Alligator mississippiensis: one gene and its partner. The protein of the gene in region 1 purifies or fractionates together with the protein of each later gene. This does not show direct contact. Links are inferred from orthologs where the notes say so. Each region holds a gene or a part of one and is shown on either strand. Other genes may lie near its edges.

Region 1 (10,096 bases):
GCAGCCTCCCCTGGGAACAGCTCCCTGGGAAGATTAAGCAGGTTGGCTGGCTGGGCAGACCAGGACTACTAGCAGCCCCCACCCGCCCCAGGCCTCCGCAGAGCCCAGATAAGCGGATATAGGAGGCAAATGAGGGCAGGCAGGAGACAGCCGTTGCAAGCTGCTGCCTGGAGCATGCACAGGCCTGGGCCGTGCCTGCAGCCGGCGGACAAGGCTCTGCGGCAGAGGTTACAGGCAGCAACCAGGCGTCCTCAGCCCCACTCAGGGCATGCCCCACTTTGTCTCACACGTGCGCATGCGCGAGTTTACCCCGCCACCCTCATCGCATCTTGTGCGCCTGCGCACGTCCAGCCTCTTTTCTGCGTACACGCCGCCTGATTTGATCCACTTTCCTCTGCGCATGCACCCTCTTGTTCACCGAATCCACGCAAGCGTACTGGCTCGCTCCAGCAGCCAGTGCATGCGCAGTGCGCGTCCGCTACCTCTCAGGGCGGAGCGCTCCGGCAGTGGGCCCCTCCTAGCGAGGGAGGGGGGCGGGTCACGGTCCCGGTGCGAGGGGTACGCCGACGGCTTCCTCACCTCATAGTGCTTCATGGCTCCGCGCTCCGCACCTGCTGCTCCTGTCTCCTGGCGCGCGCCACCTTCACGTGATCGCGCCGGACTTCACCTGGGGGGCGGAGCCTCCCCCGCCGGGCCGACAAATCCGAGGAGTCCCGGCCGAGGCTTCGCAGCCAATCAGAGTGAGCGAGGCGCAACGCCCCGCCCCAAACGTCTCCATAGGAACGGTAACGCGTGACGACGTCCTGCCTAACAGGGAGCACTGAAGGCGGGTGGAGTGACTGGGGGACGAGCCAATCGAGTTACGGGGTGGGGGGGGGAATGGGGCCCGCCCACGCACGTGGCCACGGCAGGGTTTCGTGGGGGCTACCGGGGGCAGGTGGGCATGGGGGGTGCGATCCAGGGGGGCCGGGGCCCTGTGGGGGCATGGGCAGGCTGAGGAGGGGCATTTGCAGGGCTATGGGGGTAGGGTCAGGACCCAGCCCTGCAGTACTGCTTCAGACTCACCCCAGACTCAGCCGCCTGGAGGGCACGGGGGTAGGGCAGAGCCGCAGCCCCGTGACTCACGCGGTGAGGGGGGCACCACACCCTTTCCGCAGCCCCAGGAAGGCTGGGCAGGGCAGGGCATGGAGCTTGGGGGAACCCAGGTCAGGCCCTGGAGCCAGCAGGGAGGGCCAGGGACCCTGACCAGGGACCCTGCTGCTGTTCCCTGATCCCCAGCATGCCCAGCCCATCCACAGCTGCATCAGGGCACCCCTGGGTGCAAGAAGCAGGGGGGTTGAGGGGCTGGCTTGCAAGGAGCTGTGAAAGTCAGGGTGGATTTGCACATTACAGACTATATCTATGCTTAAATATAACTTAAATATATATAGACTGCATAGAGACTAACTGAAGTCCAAGCAGCTGCCATCCATTCCCTTCAGGGGAGCCAGAGGGGGCTGTCAAGGCTGCAGTAGCAGCAGGCCCCTGTGGGGCAAGCCGCTGGGCATTATGAGGTGCATTGTGGAAGCCCGGCCACAGCCAGGGTGTAAGGTGCTGTACAGCATTAGAGCACAAACTCCAAGACCCACCAAGCTAAGACGAGACACCAGCTGGGAACGGCTGGGGGAAGACACAGGTTCAAGCGCATGGTACTGCATGATTCGTAGGATACTGGAGGAACTCTGCTGCCCAGAGCAGCTGGTGTCCAGCAGGTGCAGACCCCACACAAGTCCCCAGCCCTGCCCATGCAGGCTGGGAGTTTCTAGCATCTGGGGCAGGGCAGAGCTGGCACAGAGATGGGGGTCCACCTGTTGTAGGGAATCGGGGAGGGCAGGGGCCTCAGGGCACTCCCCCCCCCCCCGCCTCCCCAATTGGCTTCCAGTGCTAGGTGCTGGGCTGCTCAGCTCACACCCCCAGCTCAGGGGTAGCGGGAATATACAGAGCCCCTGGTTGGCCCCACCCCAGCTGCTCCTGCTCTGACATGCAGAGTGCAAGCAGTGCCTGGGCAGGTCCCAACCCCCACGCTAATCCCTAGAGGAATTCTGCTGGCTCAGGTCCTGGCTGCATTTCCAGGCTAAACCTAGATCTCAGAGCACGGTAAGGTGGGGGAGGGTCAGGGCTTGTCTATAGAAATGCCCCCTGCTGCTGCACTAGACTAAAGAAAAACACCTCCTTTCTACTCCATGTAGCACCCAGCTGGAGGCAGGATGCAGCCACCTCTGGGGTGGGACAGCACTGCCTGGAAACAGGAAAGATGAACAACCCAAGCAGCAACTGGAATTGAAGCTGCTGGCCCAGCTGGAACCCAGCCAGGCCAGGCCAGCTCAGCTTCTGGCAGGGGAGAACTCTGCCGCTTGTAGGACCCTCTCTGGCCTACCTGGGATCACAGCTGGGGTGCTGGGAAGGAGAGACCAGCCCTGCACCGCGCCCCAGTGACTCACAGCAGGATCATTTCTCCATGGATTCCTTCCAATTTAGCCAGGTCACAAACAGCCCTGATTTTACCCTGAGGGAAACAGAGGCATGGAGGTGGCAACGTGACGGGAGTGTATGGCAGGGAGAGAACCCAGGTGTACTGGCTCCTAGTGTGTCATTGTTGTCATTGTCCCCCCAGCTCTCGTTCTGTCCAGCTAGACCCTGCGTTGCCCCCAGAGCTGGGACAAGAACCCAGGCTTTCTGTTCCTAGCCCCCTGCCCTATCCCATTAGAGTCTACTGTCCTCCCAAGAGCTGGGAAGAGAACCTAGGCATCCTAGCTCCAGGCCCCCTGTTCTAACCACTCAAGCCCAACCTCCACCCCATCCGCAGTTGTGGATAGAACATGGGCATCCTGACTCTCAGCTCTACACCATTAGAGCCCACTTCCTTTCCAGGGTTGTAATAGAACCAGGTGTCTGGGCTCCCTACTCTATCCACTAGATTCCATGTCACTCCCAGAGCTGGAAGAAAACCCAGGTGTCTGGGTTTCCAGCCCCTAAGAAGCCCTCCCAGTCCTGTCCACTGTGGTCCTGACCCAGACCCAAGGCCTCTGAGGGGGCATCCCTGGGGCCTTGCTAGCAGCACCCCAGAGGACAGGGGATGGGGAACTACCATTCCTCAGCAGGGCCCTGATCCCTGTATCTGGGGCTGCTCCTGGCTGGTTGCCCTGGGGCCTGGTGGTTCAGAGCCTGCTGAGCCAAAGAGAGTCTGGCACTGGGGCAGGGAGGCACGTGGGTCCTGGGGAATGTGGGTCCAGCCCTGATATCAAAGCACCTTGCCCGACAACCCAGGCATTATCCACAGCTTCCTGCCTGGGTCCTATCCACACCACAGCAGCTCTGAGGCCCCAGGGGAGTGTTGGACCCAGCAGGTGACTGTGGAGCAGCTTGTTTGCATGGCATAAAGTTGGGTTAGGATCCAGCCCTATGTTTACCTGCTGCTCTCTGTTCCTGCCTAATGGCTATAAGGGCCATACTTGGGACATAGTTCCCTGTCAGTCTGCCTCCTCCTGGCACCCTCTGACCCCAGCCAGCTGCTTCGGGATCAATACACACACAGACTCTTCAGATCAGGTTCCGAGAGCAAGTGGGGTGCAGTCAGGGGCAGATCTGGGGGGATGGGGGGGGGTGCAGTGGTGATTCCTGGTTTCTCCTCCAGATGTTAAAAACTAGCTGCCAGCAGAGGTAGCAGTATTTCTATTCATGCAGTGTGGGAATTCAACTGACTTCATAGCTCATCATATTCTATCTAGTTCCTGATAATCTTTTCACTCAACTGGTGTTAAGGGACCCTCTCCTTTTTCAGTAGTTTTGATGTTCCACTAATCAAGCTCTCCTTTCTTCTGCAATTCTACTGTCTGTTCACTGATCCTGGTCACGTAGCTCTGATCACTCAGCCCCACAGACACTTTTAACTCTATCTAAAAACATTGATTCAGGTGTGAAAACCTTAGCTGAGGTAAACATTAACTGAGGTGTGGAAATAACTTCCAGAGAAGCGTTGGAGGTACCATCATGATGCTCAAGAAGGCTTGTTTTAGTTTTATTAATGTAAAACCCATTACATTCTAATGACTGCAGGGCTAATGAAACAATGTCTTTTAATTATTTTTTCTGAGTTTGTTTTGTTTTTATATGGACTATATGATACACAAAATTCATACACATCCCAACAAAGCTATATCTGATTGTGTTTCTATCTTAAACTACATCCAGCCCTAAGCCCCTAATATAGAAACTTTACTATTATTTTTTAATTGGAGAAAAATACGTGTTGTGTTGCACACAATGAGGCACCACACCACCTGCACCCCCCTTTCAAATTCTAGATTTGCCCATGGGCAGTGTTACAGGGGCTACATCTCCCCAGGCTCAGTGGAAGAGCAGCAGAGGCGGGCTGTGTTTGTGTGGGGGAGCTAGGGGACATAGGTGTGCGCGTGCTCGTTGGGTTGAACCTGGAGGCATGGGGCTGGAGGGAGGTGCTTGTAGGGTTCAGCAGATTGCTCTTGGGGGTCAATCTCTTAATGAGCTAGGCACAGAAAGGAGTTAGTTGGAGAAATGCACTGCTGATACAACGGGTATTGGCAATGGTGAGGAAGAGTGGAATATCTTGCATGTAGCACACATGGGTGGGGAAGGCCGCGTGGTGAGCAGCTCCCAGTAGCCGCAGGAGCCAAAACTGGTGTTCACTGGGAGCTGGGTCTGCAGCTGAAGGCAGTGGCCTGCTACAGGGCCTGACCTTGGGCAGACTCCCTGCACCTTCTCCAGCCCTGGTGCAGGTGGGTTCCACCCCCTGGTCCCCTAGCCCCATCCCTGGCCAGCTACTCCCTGTGGTGGGGCAAGAAGCTATATGGGGGAGTCTTTTTGCTGCCTGGGGGGTAGCTTTTGGGGGGCTCCAGTAGCCTAGGGTGACGGGCACGTGGTAGGGAGTCCTGTTGTTGGGTGCCCCAGCTGGGACGTCATTGGCACCCCGGGGGGGGGGGCAGGGCTTTGGTGGGCGTAACTTCCCCCTGTAGGTGTGACCAACACTGCGCTCTGTAAGGTACGTCTAGCCTCTGGTACATACATACTCCCCCTCCCTTTCCGGAAAGGGGGCGTGGCTTTGTCGCTCCCAGCGTCCCTCTCTTATTGGCCCTCACAGAGGTGAGGGCGTGGCCTTGACGACAGTTACCCCCTCCCCTCCACCCCGCCCTCACACAGGCAGGTCCTCGCGCGCCCGCCCTCTGTTGGGTCACGCGCCGGCAGCAGCGGGCGTCCATTGGCTGGGGCGGCGGGGCGGAGCGGAGGCTCCGGATGGTTGTGGCGCTCTCTGGAACGTTCGGAGCCCAGGTATAAATGGGCTGAGACTGGGGCGCTGGCGGCGATCGCGGCCGGGCGGCGCCATGGGTAAGGATTATTACGGCACGCTGGGCCTGCAGCGCGGTGCCTCAGACGAGGACATCAAGCGGGCCTACCGGAAGCTCGCGCTGCGCTACCACCCCGACAAGAACAAGGAGCCTGGCGCCGAGGAGCGCTTCAAAGAGGTGGCCGAGGCCTACGACGTGCTCAGTGACCCCAAGAAGCGGGAGGTCTTCGACAAGTATGGCGAGGAAGGTGAGCGCCCGCGCCGTGTGGGGCTTTGGGGCTGCAGGGTTGGGGGCGGGGAGAGGATCCCAATAGCAGCGAGGCTCTGCGGGGCTTGCTGCACAGTGGGAGGGGTGTCCCAGGGAGCGGGGCCTGAGCCGCTGGGGGGGGCAGGGCTGGGGGGGAGAGATGCCCCGAGGGACCCGGGGGCGGGTCCTGCTCCATAGGTGGGAGAGGGGAGTCGGGTCTGCGGGCTCTCCAGGGGGAGTGGGGCTGTGGTGGGGAGCTGGGAATGGAGTGCAGGCTGGGGAGGGGAGGTCTGAGAGGAGTTGGGCTGTGGGGGAGGGCACTGGGGGGAGCTAGCCTGTGGGTGGAGGAGGTGACAGTGCAGGGTCCCCCAAGTGCTGGCCAGGGGTCAGTGCTTTACTGCCCTGGGCTGGGGCTTGCAGTGCAGAGTTGCCCTTTGAGGTAAGGACTATATCCTGAGGGAGGGCTGGGACCTCTAAGGGAAAGGGCATGAGGTGCTGGGAGACTTGTATCCCTGGCTTGGGTACATGGTGAGGGCCTTCCTTGAGGTGTGTGCCAGTCCACAGCTGTCTGCATAGGCTTGATTGGCCTGGGGTGCCCAGGGCAGAAGCACCTCCCCCCCTCCCCCCCCCCCGCAACCCTTCCCTAGTTCCAATGCTGGGTTGGAGAAGATGAGCCTGATGGGTCTTCTGAGGGGAGCTGTGGGCTAGGGCTGACCAGTGCTGCCCCTGGCGCCAGCCTAGCTGTGGAAACGGAAGTCAGGAAGCAGCCAAGCAGGACTGACTTGAGGAACAGGGGAGAGACCTGCAGTATGTGGCATCTTAGAAAAAAGTGGATACAGGCTCTTGCTACCTGTGCGGGCTTGGAAACTGGCCAGATGAATCCTTATCTCTTGCTGCTAGCTGCTAACTTTTAGCTTTGACACTGTAAAGAGTCCTTATTTCATGCTTTCTTGGGGCCTGTTCTAAAGCTGAAGGACAAGGACCTGGGGCACAGTGTGCTTGCCTGACTCCCCACCTTAAGGGTGGAAGTGTCAGGATTGGTCTAGATCAAGCCTTTAATTTAGCACTGAGGGCACACAGGCTTGTTCTACTGCTCCTTGCATGAGCCTTGCAGCTCCTGGCTCATACCTGTGACTGAGCTGTTGCTTGGAGACAGTGGGTGAGGAACCAGAACTGGCAGAACAGGAGAGAAAACATCCTGAAACAGCTTTGCAGTTTTTGTAAAGCTGGCCTGTGTTCTTGGTAGACATTGAGCTTGCCCTTGTGTGCCAAAGTGTTGGCAGGTCTGTGTGGATTGGCTGTGTTGGGAGAGGTGGAGCCTTGCAAGGGCGTGGCTTGGAGTTACAAGCAAACAAATATGCTAGAATCTTCTGTGTTAACTTGAACTCCCTGCAGCCCCTGCCTTAATCTCCCAAGGCAGGAAGAGCTTGCCTTGCTGTTTCCAAGCACCCTCAATTGCTATTGTGCCTCTGGGGCTGCTGTTAAGCATGTGTTTTCCTTCAGTTCAGGAATAGGAAGTCCATAGGCTCCTACGTTCCCTGCCTTGATATGGGGAGGGGGAATGTTAACCCAAATGATACAATCAAATTCACTGTATAAACTGATCTGTGTTTGAAAAGCTGGAAGCTCTGGATATCAGAACTCTTGGAGGTGACTCTAATTTCCCTTGTGATTAGAGAAAGTACTTGCCAGGTCAAGATGAGACTTCTCTTCTGTGAGGCACCTCAGAACTGAAGGATGAGACAAAATGACAATGGTGGTGGGAACAGAGGCCAAAAGCTTGGATGGTTCTGGAGCTGGGGATCTGGAATCCTGGGGTAAGCACATGAGTGAAAGTGGAGACTGATAAACTAACAGCAGGTTTATTGCCTGTTTTTCAGGGCTAAAAGGAGGTGGCTCCAACATGGGAGGTGGTGCTAATGGCCCATCATTCACCTACACGTTCCATGGAGACCCTCATGTTGTGTTTGCTGAGTTCTTTGGAGGCCGGAATCCCTTTGATACCTTCTTCATGCAGAGGAATGGGGATGAAGACATGGACATTGATGACCCTTTTGTCACCTTCCAAATGGGAAGTTTCAGCAATGCGGGTTTCCCCCGCACCCGAGGGGGCCACAACAGCCTTCGCCGGAAGCAGGACCCTCCCATCACGCATGACCTGAGGGTCTCCTTAGAGGAGGTCTACTCGGGCTGCACCAAGAAGATGAAGATTTCTCACAAACGTCTCAACCCGGATGGGAAGACGACACGCAACGAGGACAAGATCCTAACCATTGAGGTGAAACGGGGGTGGAAGGAAGGGACCAAGATCACATTCCCCAAGGAGGGTGACCAAACGCCCAACAACATTCCAGCCGACATTGTCTTTGTTCTAAAAGACAAGCCACACAGCATCTTCAAGAGGGATGGCTCGGACATCATCTTCCCAGCTAAGATCAGCCTCCGAGAGGTGAGTTAGGGGGTCTGGGTACAGGACTCGCTGGAGTTCTAGCTTTGGGTCTGGGGTGTACAGACCTTTTGTTGAATTTCATGGTCTCTCTGACTTGTCTCTCTCTGCAGGCCCTGTGTGGCTGCACGGTGAACGTCCCAACGCTGGATGGCAGGACCATTCCCATGTCATTCAAAGACATCATCAAGCCTGGAGCAAAGCGCAGGATCACTGGGGAAGGTCTCCCATACCCCAAGAACCCAGACCAACGCGGGGATCTTATCATAGAGTTTGATGTGCGGTTCCCAGACAGAATCCCCCAGACATCCAAGAAAGCTCTGGAGCAGATCCTTCCCATCTAGTTTGTGCAATCTGTGGACCTGAGACCAAGACTGGCTGAACACCAAAGCCTGTGGGACCATAGCCTTGGGCTCCAGGCTGGGGCTCTGGGAACTTGGTTTCAGTGCCTTGACCCAGAACATTGCTTGAATCACCTACACCAGTGAGCTGCTACATTTGGGAGGAGCCTACAGACACACTGCTGACAAATCATCTTGTAAGGATGTGACCAATGACTCAACCCACTGTCTGCATCCTGGGCAGCCCTAAATAGGACAGCTGCCTTGCACTTCATCTCTTGCTGAGTTGGAATCCCTTCACCATGTGGGGGGCATAAACTCCAAACTGGACAGTCCTTACTGTTGTAGTCCTTGCTTTGTGTCTTGTGTTCCTTGTTAATTCACTGGAGAACTTTTATCCTGGGTCACTTGGATGTTCTTGGCTATGAATTCCCACCTCAGAGTCCTGCCTGCCTATTTTGTTTGCTGGAAGGTGGATATACTCTCGCTGAACTTAATTGTGGGTCTGTGAAAATAACCCTGGTAAACACTAGGGCTTAAACAAATGTCTTGAAGATGAGATGAAATGAATAAGCCCTGGAGTTTAAACCAGTAGCTATCCAGGCCTAGAAAAATAATGCAAAGGGATTTCCTGGGTCTTAAATATAATCTGCTTTTTCAAATCTTTTTTCTGAAGAGACTTTCATAGATGCATCCCTCTACATTCTTGGGCTCAATTCCTGGTAGGGCAATGGGCTGAGCAGGTATTGCCTGGTTCTTGCATCTCTGCCAGCAGCAGAGTCTGACTCCTTTCCTTACTCACAGTTGCTGTCTTAAACCAGAGGATTTTGGCCAACCACTGAACTCTGGGGCATTTGAGGCCTTGGCCTCTGAGCTTGTTAACACCACCTTTGCTATCCTTTTTTAATTAAAGGGTTCCTGCTCCTGGTACAGGAGCATTACAGCACTTCTTGTACATACTTTGTATAAAAGTTGTGTAAATTTGACATGTAATTAAAATGCAGTGGAGAGGCTGGTTTATTTTATAGGATTGTATCTGAATTAAAGACTCATGGGAGGAGCTGGTGACCTTCCCTTTTTTTAAACATGCAGCACTGTTTTGAAGTATGGCTGGACTGACAATTTTCAGTTACTAATGTGATAAGACCAAACTGGGGTTACGATTAAAGTCTTGGTAGCCAAAGCCCTGTGTGGCCTTATTTGGGGGAGAGGTATCTGTCCTGATGTGGGAAGCAATATTGAGTTGCACTTGTTAGACACTGAGTGGCTCAAAGTGGCCTTTCCCACAGCTGCTGTTATTTTACTAAGGCAGGGTTTTAAATAGGCTAGATCCCCACTGGGAAGGGTGGGGACAGTGGGTGTAGGGCTAAGATTAGGTGAAGCAACTGCAATGTAGATTCCCTGCCCTGCGTGGAACAAAAGATATGCAGGTGCCAGCTTAAAAGAGCCAAGACCTACGCTCACCCAGATCTTTATTAAAGCCACTAGCAACTACTAGCCCTCATCCTGTGGGTGCAGCTTTTCCTGCTTGTTGGCCTGGCTTGCTGTACAGGGGTGTGTCCCACAGCCCCTTGCTGAATGAACAAGGGTGTGGTGAAAGCCCAGAGGCCCAGACGCATTCAGCCCCTGTTACTCCTTAGGAGAAGGATAGAGTAGGATTTCCTGTTGGCACAGGTAGCAATTACATGACACTCCCAGGCAGA
Region 2 (10,221 bases), on another chromosome or scaffold:
GCCCCAACTACATCATCCCAGCCAAGGCTTTGTCTAGTCAGGGCTTAAAAACCTCCAAGGACGGAGTCTCCCCCACCTCTCTGAGTAACCTCTTCCAGGACTTCACCACCCTCCTGGTGAGAGAGGTTTTCCTAATATCTGACCTCAACTTCCCTTGCTGCAGCTTGAGCCCATTGCTCCTTGTCCTGCCATCTGCCCCCACTGAGAACAGCCCAGCTCCATCCTCTTTGCAGCCCCCCTGCAGGGAGGTGAAGGCTGCTATTCAATCCCCCTCCGTCTTCTCTTCTCCAGACTGAATCAACCCAGGTCCCTCAGCCTCTCCTCACTAATCACTTGCCCCCGGCTCCAGCAGGAAATGTCCAGGGTGAGCGTTGGAAATGTCCATAGGCCTGGAGATGGTGCTGATATCTTTGACTGGGATAATTTGGTAGAAGGAATTCCAGTTCCTGCCTGGCCGGAGAGGAGACGGCCTGGGAGAACACACATCACCCTCTTTCCCATCGCTTTTGCTTGGGGGGGCAGGATCCGCTCTCCTCAGCAGCACCTGCCACCAGCATCTCTCCTGGTCCCCCCAGGTGCCACCTGGAGCAACACCCACCTGCTAGAGGCCCACAGGTGCAGGGCAGGGAAGGGTCCGAGCGGATGGAGCACAGCTGACAGCCTTGGTGGCTTGTCCTAGCTGCGTTTTCCCTGCTGCCAAAGCCTCCCGGTGCCCCACTTGGCCCAATGCAGCTCTACGAGTCAGATGGGTCTCAGTTAGCCGGGGCTGGCCATGCTGAGCTTTGGGACAGGCACCGAGCCTTGCCCAGGACACAGGAGCTGCTGTGCTCAGCCTTGCTGACCACTCTCCCAGCTGGCCGGGGCAGCAGACAGCATCTTCAGGTGACGTGGTGTCACTCATCACAGCTCTGCATCTAGACCAGGTGCCACTGGCCAGCCTGGCAGTGCCAGAGCTGAGAGTGCAACAAAGTCCAAGGGCTCCTAGGATGCACCGAGGGGCTTCCTCTTTGCTAGGACCTGTTGCTATTCCCCTCCTTGCTCCAACCAAAACCCAGCAGGGCTGTGGGAGGCCAGGGGTCCAGCTGCGAGCCAGAGAGCACATCCAACCTCCTCCCCAGAGCATCTTGGGAGCATGACATGTGGCACTGACCCCCGGGACACATGCAGGCGGTGCTCAGCCAAGCAGGAGCTGCAAATCCTGACAGCAACACATACACCAATGACTTGAAGTTGCAGCAAAGCAGGTTTAGGTTGGATGTCAGGAAAAACCTCCATGGTGTCAGGGCAGGGAGAGAAGCCCAGGGAAGTGGGAGCCTCTCCGTCACTGGAGGTGTTCAAGGAGAGGTTGGGCAGCTACTGGGCTGCACCAATGCTCCTGATGGAACCAACCCAGCAGGATCCTGCCCCTCCGCTCGGGCTCAGACCGACGCTGCACTGCGGGCAGGAAGGGTGCCCTATCTGGTGACGTGTCAGGGATGACAGCAGTTTTAAAGTTTAGATGATGGATGGGTCTGGGCTGGTTTGCACAGGGCTGATCCTGCCTCAGGAAGGGGTTGGACCGGATGTGACCTCTGCCGGTCTCTTCCAGCCTGGCTTCTCCATGATCGCAGGACACAGGAGACCCCGAGGAGCCAAGGGGAACAGCACAGCAGCTGCCTGCACCATTTATTGGAGCCGTGGCCCACTGAGAGCACAACCAGCAGGCACAGAGCAGGCCCAGGTCCCAACCCTCCCGTGGAAAGCCGCCTCCCTGGGCAGTGAAAGTCACGTCCACGAAGGAGCAGGGCTAGGAGGGCGACACCTGCCCCGGCCTGGCATGCTCCGGGCAGCCTCCATGGTGCTGCGCTGCAGGCCCTAGTTCTTGCCCAGCTCGCGGGCCCGAATGGTGCCAGCCTCCACGGCGTTCATGACAGCAGCCCGCAGCCCGCCCTTCTCCAGCTCGTGCAGGGCGTGGATGGTGGTGCCGCCGGGTGTGCACACATCCGCCCGCAGCTTGGCCGGGTGCTCCCCTGTCTCCAGCATCATCTTGGCTGCTCCCTGCAGGCAGAGGCAAGGTGTGGGGGGTGGGGTGCATCTCACAGCACCCCTGCTCCTGCTGGAGCCCATGCTACGGCCACACGCTCCCTCCTCTCGCACTTCCGTGGCATCCACCCAGCTCAAGGAACCCGCTGCATGCACGAGGTAGGTGCCTGACCCCTGCTCACGATGCCTCCAAGAGCCTGGCCAGGGGGGATCAGACCAGGCTGGGACTGGTGACCTGGTGCTGCGCCTAACACTAAGCTGCACTCCAGCTCCTCTGCTCACACGGCTTCGATCTTTCCAACAACGTCAGTGCCCAGCGTGATAGAGATGCTTCCTCAGCCATTACAAGGCATCTGCCTGGCTTCCCCCAGCTCAGCCCTAAGACTCCAGCGGCTGGAGCCAAGTGGTCTCCAGCTGCTTGGATCCTAAGGGGACGCCAGCCCGGCTGGGAGTGCCACAGCCCCTTGGAGAAGAGTCCCCAGGAGGGGAGAGGGAGCCACAGGGAAGCAGGAGGTAGGGACACAACCAAGGACTTTCCCCCCAGAACCAGACCTGCAGCAGAGGGAGGCTTGGGGCTGGAGGAGCAGGGGTTGGGGACAGAGCGCCCCGGGAAGGGCAGGACGGGGAGCTCCTGGCAGGCAAGCCAGGTGTGTGCTCACCAGCAGGGTCTGGGCAGCGATCCGGCTGGCCAGGGGCCCGGACATGCCCATCTTCACTGCTCCCTCCGCCAGGGCTTCAGCAAACATGTAGACCTGGTGGGGGGAGAACAGCCCACCATTAGCCCACGGCCGTGAACCTGCTGCTTCTGGAGGACGGAGCCCGGCAGAGCCACGTGCTCCACCCTGCGCTGGCGGCCCCGGTCCCACTGGATCACAGCTGGATCCTGCCACGATCCTTCGTGGGTCGTGCCCACAACGCAAAGCGTCTGGCGGAGGTCAAGGCCAGAGCGCTCAGCCTGGCAAGGCAAGAGGTAGTGGGGGGCCTTCTGGGGCCAGTTCAGGGGCACGGACAGACGAGATGGTTACACCGGCGTAATCTGCCTCGGCTTAGGCGTGAAGCAGAGGAGACGACGAGACCTGCCGCGGCCCGTGTCAGATAGCTACCCCTAGGAGAGCAAGGGGCATGACGACACGGGTGCAGGCTGTCCTGGGACAGGCGCCGTCTGTCCAGCTTACCCCAGGGCAGCCATGTGCTCCTTTGGCAAGGGACACCCAGGCCCCAACCCACCCTAGGGGGTGCTCCCCGCAGCAGAGCACGGCTGGGCCCCGTGCAAGGGTCAGGGAGCCCCAAACGCCCGGACCGAAGCCGCAGAGCAACACTCGGGCGCGCCTGCAGTCGGGCCGCAGCGCAGGCGCCCAGGCAGGCCCGCGGGGTCCCGCCGCCGGCACTCACGTAGGCCACGCCGCTGCCGCTGAGCCCGGTGTGGATGTCGATGTAGGACTCGGGCACCTCCTCGCACAGCCCGCAGGCCGCCAGCAGGCCCTGCAGCACGGCGGCTTCACGCTCCCCCGCGCAGCGCCCCCGGGCGAACACCACCGCCCCCGCCTGCACCACGCACGGCAGGTTGGGCATGAACCGCAGCACCTTGGTCCCGGGCGGCAGCATCTGCAGGAAGACACGGAGGTGGGGCCGAGCCGGGGCCGCGCGGGGCGGGGCGGGGGGCGGGCCGCCCGCCCCGGGGCCCTTCTCCCGCCACTCACCTGCTCCAGGGTCTGCAGCGTGACCCCCGCCACCAGCGACACGAGGACGTGGTTGGGGGTGACGAGGGGGGCGATCTCCTGCAGCACGCCGGGCAGCACGTGGGGCTTGGTGGCCAGGAAGACCAGGATGCAGCTCTGCACCACCTCCCCGTTGCTGTGCGTGGTCCGGCAGCCCAGCTCCTGCGCGGGGACGGGAGGGGACGGGGCGGGGCGGGTCAGCCCCGCGCCCAGCACCTCCCCCTCCTCGGACCTGGGTCCCCACCAGCGCCCCCCGCCCCACCCGCCCGCCCGCCCGCGAGGGGCTCACCTCGAAGGCGCGCAGGTTGCGGGTGCTGGGGGCGCTGGCCCACACCTGGGCAGCCGGCACCTTCCCTGGGGGGACACGGGGCACGGGTCAGCGCCTGGCCCCCCTCCCCTCCCCACCCCACACCCCCAAGCCCCGGCGGAGATAGGGGGATGCCCGTGGGGGCAGCGGCCCGGCCCCACCTGCCAGCACGGCCCCGCGGGCCACCCCCAGCGCCATGCGCCCGGCGCCCACGAAGCCCACGCGCGGCCCCGGCGGCTCCATGCGTCCCGCGTGGGCCCCGCCCCGCCCGCGTGACCCCGCGCCCCACGTGGGCGCATGAACCCGCGTCACGTGGCCCCCCACGTGGGGGTTTGGACCCCGCCCCGCGTGCCCGCCCCCCACCCACGCCGAGCGAGCTTGCCCCGCCCTCGCTCCGCGGATTGGCTGCCGCTGGGGGCGGTGTCACGGGCCGGTGGCGTCATAGGGGCCCCCGGGGGATTTCCCCTGCTCCGGCTGCTCTGTAACCAGGTAAGGGGGGGGGGCTGCACCGTCTCCATGGTAACCTGCTCAGCAACAGGTCCCGCCCACTTCCTGCGCCTTTCCCGGTAGGGGTGGGACCTGACTTCATGCGTGTGTACACACACACACACACACACACACACACACACAGGCGATGCGCACGCGGATGCACATGTGCACACACACTCATATGCGTATCTGGGCATGCTACACATGCACGGGCAATGCATGCACGGATGCACATGCATGTAAAGGCGTGCATGCTCCCCCACATGCACATGTGCGCAGGCATGCACATGCGTGGTCCTGTGTGCATCCAGGCACGCACACTCATACACATGTGTGTGCACACAGGCACCCTCCCCTAGTGCTGAGTGCACAGGGCTGTGGCCCACGGCGCACACGTGTGTGCACGTGGGGCTCCTGCCACTGCCACGGGGCTGGGCCCTGCTCTGGCCCGGGGAGGCTGCAGGGGCTGGGACGGCAGCCCCCTACCCTAAACCCCACCCGGCCCCTTCACCCCACAGCGTCCCCGCGCCCCCAGCGATGCTGCCGTGGAACTGCTGGGCTGTCCTGCTGCCCGCCCTGCTGTGCGCGCCCTGCCACGGGCTCTTCGGGTGGCTGCGTGGCCCCCCGGCCAGCCCCACGCCGGCCCCCCGCCCTGCGGCCCCCTTCGAGATGGGCGCGGGCGACGAGCGCTTCCTGGCCGAGGCCCGGCTCCTGGACCTGTCTGCGCTGGACGCGTGCCACCACCAGGTGAAGGCGTGGCCCCTGGGCGGCGTGGCCCCTGGGCTCCCCGGGGACCGCGTCTGCTGGCAGCCCCGGGGTGCGTCTCCCAGCGCAGCCGGGCCCTCGTGGGTCTGCGCCGGGGCTGGGAGGGAAACCGAGTCGGGCCCTGGCGTCACGGTGCTTTTCCCGCCTGCCCGCCCGCAGGTCGTGGCCCGGCTCCGCTCGTCCTGCGCCGACATGGCCGAGGAGGAGGTGGCCAAGCTGGGGGTGTCGCTCTTCAACTGCCAGGCCAGCGCCGAGGGGCGCCGCACCTACCCCTGCACCGCCGGCATGGTACGGGGTCCCGCTGGGGCAGCCGGGTCGAGACCCTCCCTCGGTCTGCATGGGGGCGGTGGAGCTCGTTGCACCCCCGCCCTTTGCCCTGTGCTGCCCAGCCCTCTTGCACCATGCAGGTGCCCCCCACGCGACTCGAGTCTCCCCTTGCTCTGCGCCCCGGCTCTGTACCGTAACCCTGCCCGGCCCCCTCTCCCCCAGAGCCTCGCGGCGTGCACGGCGGGCATGGACCCCGACACCTGGAACGCCTACCACATCGTCAGCAACCGGGCCCGAGCCGTCTGCTACGCCACCCGCCAGCTGCAGTTCAGGCGCCGGACGGAGCAGACGGTCAACGCGCTGGTCTCCACGGCCGCCGGCCAGCTGGAGGCCATGAGGATGCTCAAGGTGGGTGTCCCAGCAAGGACTTGACTTGCCGGGCAGCTGGGGTGACGCGGGGCTTGGGTCCAGAGTGTGGCCAGCTGGCACCAACCCCGCAGGGTCCTGGCTGGAGGGTCTTGCCCCCACGCTCATGCTGCCCTGGGGGCAGGAAGGGATTTCCCCCCAACTCAGACTGGTGCATACTGGGGAGAAATCCCTTCCATTACTGGTCTTCCTCTGTAATGGGGGCACGGCCTGGGCTTTCTGGAGGGGACATGAACAGCCTTTTAAGCAAGCAGGATGTTGGAGGCTGTGGCTTTCTCAGCCCCAAAGGACCCTCTGTGCCCCAAGGCTTGCATGCCGCCTACTTGCCATGTGTTTGGTCCAATAAAAGATATCGCCCCAACACCCTGGCTTCTCCCATACTCTCTCAACCCCGTTCGACTTGGGGCACTCTCCAAAAATACCGGCTCTTTGCTTTCACCCCATGTCCGACAATGACCAAGTCCTAGAGCAATTCTTCTGTTGCAAACAGCCCAGCGAGCCCACAGCAGCGCAGAACGGTTTGGACGCGGGAGTGCAGCAAGGGAGGTTGAGGCTGGATATTAGGAAGAACTTTCTCATGAGGAGGGTGGTGAAGCACTGGGCCAGGCTCCCCAGAGAGGTGGGGGAGTCTCCATCCTTGAAGGTTTTGAAGACCCGGGTAGACAAAGCCCTGGCTGGGATGATGTAGCTGGGGCTGGTCCTGCTTGGAGCAGGGGGTTGGACTAGATGGGACCTCCGGAGATCCCTCCAACCCTCATTTTTTATGATTCCTGTTTGAAATCTCTGGGTTTATGTTGTGAATCGCATGTACGTGTTTTGCAGAGCTACGGCCCCTACCAGATGTGCAGGTAAAGGTGTGATGGGATCTAATGCACAATCCACGCAATCACGCTTCCTGCCATGCCACGTGTGCCGGAGGTGTGATTATGGCCAGAGGTGCGATTGTGGGATTGAGCCTCCCATCACGCCTTGCTGCTAGTGCAGGGGGAGCTTGGTGTCGCATCAGTCCTGCCGTGGACTAAATCAGTCCCGAGACAGTTGTGACGCAGAGGCCGTGCTCCTCGCTCCCGTGCTTAATAGCTACTGATGCCCTGTTCCTCCAAGAACATGTCCAATCCCTTTGTGAGCCTGGCTAAACTCACAGCTTCCACCACGTCTGGTGGTGACAAGCTCCACGTTTTAATGACATGCTGGAGGAAAAAGACCTTCCTGTTGTCACAATCCCAGGCTCCCCTTGTACCAGCAAGCTCCTGCAGCTGGGAGCTCCCTCAGCTGATTGAGGGAAGGGGGGGGTCATGGTGCTCCCCTACAGCTGAGAAGACCCATCAGCGGCGGGGGGTCATGGCCATGGGGAGCACCTGGCCACTAGTTCAGCTAGTGGTGTGATGCAAACCAGCGACAAAGTTGTTACCTGTTTTTTTGTGGAACACCTTTGTGGCTTGTTCCTTGGTTTACAGTGCCGTTAATGGCTGTAACGTGTGGCCGAGTTGCAACCTAAGATGTAATTTTTGGTTAATGGCATCTCAAGTGCAACATGTGGCAGGGGCTTGACAGTGGTGATGCTGTGCCACCCTTAAAACAGTCTTGTGGCACCCCAGCGTGCTACAGCACCCCGGTTGAGAATCACCGCTCTGGTCCATCCCAGCTTCTGTACTGCTCCTGCCCAACTACAAGGTAAAGCAAGGCATGCTGGGATTGGTAGCCTACCCCCAGCCACGCTTCTGCCCCCCATGGGTAGCCCTGCTAGGGGAGTTGCCTTCCTCGCAGGGCTCTGAGCTGGGCCCCACGTCTCCGGCAGGACGGGCAGGAGGAGCTGAAGGAGCTGACGGAGGAGTCCCTGCAGCGGGTGGTCCGTGGCCAGCACGAGCTGCTGGTGGAGCAGGAGAGACTGCAGGGCGGCCAGGAGCAGATGGCATCCTCCCTCCGCGGCAACCTGGAGCAGCTAGCCCAGGAGGAAGCCCTGATCGCCAGCGGGCAGCAGCAGGTGGCTCAGCTCATCGAGGGCATCACCAGGAAGATGGGTGAGCATGGTGCACTGTCCCATGCATGGTGCCCACTGGCCACCCTGCAATCCCCGTGGCCTGGAGCTCCTGTGGGAGGTCTGGAAGGGGGCCCCAAGGTGCAGCTGGCCCCGGCATGACCCTCCCTGGGCCGCAGGAGCTGGCTGGAGGCTCCTTGTCCCAGGCGTAGCTGAGCATGGGATGGGGTCTCACGGGGGTCCTGCCCCTCTCTGCCCCACAGAGAACATGAGCATCCACCTGGGCGAGCAGGACGTGGAGCTGCAGGAGGGGCACCGGGCCATCCTGGCCGACCTCGGCCGCGTGCAGAGCCGCACCCAGCAGGTCTACGCCAAAATCGGTACCGGGGCAGGAGGGGCATGGGCTGGATGCTCCCAGCTGGGACTATGGCAGCTGGCATAGGCAGTCTCCACCATCTCTCCCTTCCTTGGGACCCTTGGCCCTGCCCTGGATGGGACCCCCCTGCCAGAGCCAGCTGCCCCCTGCCAGCAGCATGGGCACTAGGCTCCGGGTTTCCTCCACCCCCAGAGTCTGACCTGGCGCTGATCCAGTCCTACCAGAGCCAGACAGGCCTGTACTACGAGGAGCTGATGGGCAAGCTGCAGCGGGTGAATCGGAGCCTGGGGCAGGTGCTGGGCGCCGTGGAGCACTTGCAGAGCAGCGTGGAGAGCCGGCTGCAGCACGTCCAGAGCGTCATCGCCTGGACAGGTGACACGGGGCTGAACCCGGTTGGGCTCCACAGCTCGGTGTGAGCAGGCCTTAGGGAACAGACGCAGCACTTACCGTGGGGTAACTGAACCTGGGGTAAGGAGCAGACACCCCAGCCACACTTGGTGCTATTGCAGCACGTGGCGACTAGGGCAGCCCATCTCCTTCGGGGAGATACCCTGGGCTGGTGGAGCAGACACATGGCTGCCCTGGGGTATAGTTACCCCTGGCATAAAGCCGCGTGTCCTTGCTGCTCCTAAAGTAGCCTCTGTCCAAGCCCTCGCTGGCCGTCCCTAGGTTGTTCAGTACTGGAGCACCATCCATCCGCTCTTGTCCTTTCCCCTGTGGCTCTAGCTGGTGACCTTCCTCTCCAGGTGGAGTTAGGGGGTGCACTGACACCCCCCAACCCCCAGCCTGAGCAGGGACCGGCAGGGCCCCGGTGCCAGCCCAGGAGCTGGCCTGGTGCCCAGGGATGCCTAACCAACCTTGCTCCCTCCTCTCGCAGGGGTGAGCCTGGGGGCCATCTCCACCTGCACGCTGCATGCCGCCTACTTCCTGCTGGCCGCCCTGCTCCTGGCCTTCCTGCAGACGCCGGGACTGCCCCGTGCCGCCCTCCTGGTGCTGGTGGCGGCCAATGCACTCTCCGAGCTGCAGCGCGCTGCCTCCCTGGGCTTCCCGGCACTCACTGCCCTCCTGGTGCTCGTCATCATGGGTGGGTACAGCTGGGCTCCCTTCCTCTGCACCCGGGGTTGCCAGGTTTGGGTGGATGCCAGGGTCATGCATGGACCCAGCAGCCCGAGGTGGGGAAAACTGCATTGCTCTCTGCAAGTGGGAGCAGCACTGGGCTGACCGTGGCTGCATTTCCCCCTCTTTATGCAGGGCACTGGCTGCTGACCAGTGTGTGCCATGGGGCCTGGAGGGTGCAGGGCCAGAAGCCCAGGCTCACCCTGCTGCCCACTCCCCAGAGAGCCGTGGGGGCCAGGGCTGATCCCAGCAGCCGCAGGACCTCCACCCCGGACAGGTAGGAGGAGAGACCCTCGGGAGCATCAGCCCCTCGGCTACGAGCCAGGGCCCAAAGGGCTTTTGGTCAGTGTCTGGACCAGGCGAGCGCCTGGGTGCAAGGTGGGGGCCAGGTGCTGCAGAGGAGATGGGTAGTGAGAGCACTTGGCACCCCTGCCGGTCATGGAGAATCTGCATCTATGGTGGGGGCCGGTGCACAGTACGTAGGGACTTAAACCCCCTTCCCTGCTAGCCTGGCCTGCCCCGCCAGGTGCTAGGGACATGCCCAGGGTTGGGCAGGCCAGCGGTGGCAGAGCCCAGGATCTCCCAGCTCTGCTCTGTCAGGAGCTGGGTGTCCGTCTGCCCTTGCTGGAGAGTGTCCGGCAGGCAGGGCTCTCCTGGATCAAGGGGTGCTGGGTCCCCCTGTTAGATCCCAGACCTGAGCTGGCACTCCTCTCCCTCCACATCCCAACGCTTCATCCGTGGGTCCACGTGGGCTTTG

What was found. The genes of interacting proteins can lie anywhere in the genome.
Region 2: the proteins of DNAJB1 (region 1) and PYCR3 purify together in Homo sapiens (affinity purification with mass spectrometry; 3 studies listed by BioGRID and IntAct, with this or other methods). This does not show direct contact. The link is inferred for Alligator mississippiensis from reciprocal best matches to the Homo sapiens genes DNAJB1 and PYCR3.

What each region holds. Positions count from the first base shown.
Region 1 is NC_081831.1:24,775,729-24,785,824, reverse strand, and holds DNAJB1 (dnaJ homolog subfamily B member 1), read left to right. Parts: upstream 1-5,286; 5' UTR 5,287-5,396; coding exon 5,397-5,607; intron 5,608-7,486; coding exon 7,487-8,055; intron 8,056-8,165; coding exon 8,166-8,396; 3' UTR 8,397-9,453; downstream 9,454-10,096. Other genes in the region: TECR (very-long-chain enoyl-CoA reductase), read right to left, coding at 580-594. UniProt on the Homo sapiens protein: Interacts with HSP70 and can stimulate its ATPase activity. Stimulates the association between HSC70 and HIP. Negatively regulates heat shock-induced HSF1 transcriptional activity during the attenuation and recovery phase period of the heat shock response.
Region 2 is NC_081826.1:2,212,099-2,222,319, reverse strand, and holds PYCR3 (pyrroline-5-carboxylate reductase 3), read right to left. Parts: upstream 4,325-10,221; 5' UTR 4,291-4,324; coding exon 4,209-4,290; intron 4,095-4,208; coding exon 4,030-4,094; intron 3,903-4,029; coding exon 3,723-3,902; intron 3,628-3,722; coding exon 3,415-3,627; intron 2,775-3,414; coding exon 2,682-2,774; intron 2,038-2,681; coding exon 1,855-2,037; 3' UTR 1,640-1,854; downstream 1-1,639. Other genes in the region: protein brambleberry, read left to right, coding at 5,074-5,283, 5,461-5,589, 5,791-5,976, 7,793-8,015, 8,236-8,352, 8,541-8,720, 9,226-9,432, 9,600-9,741.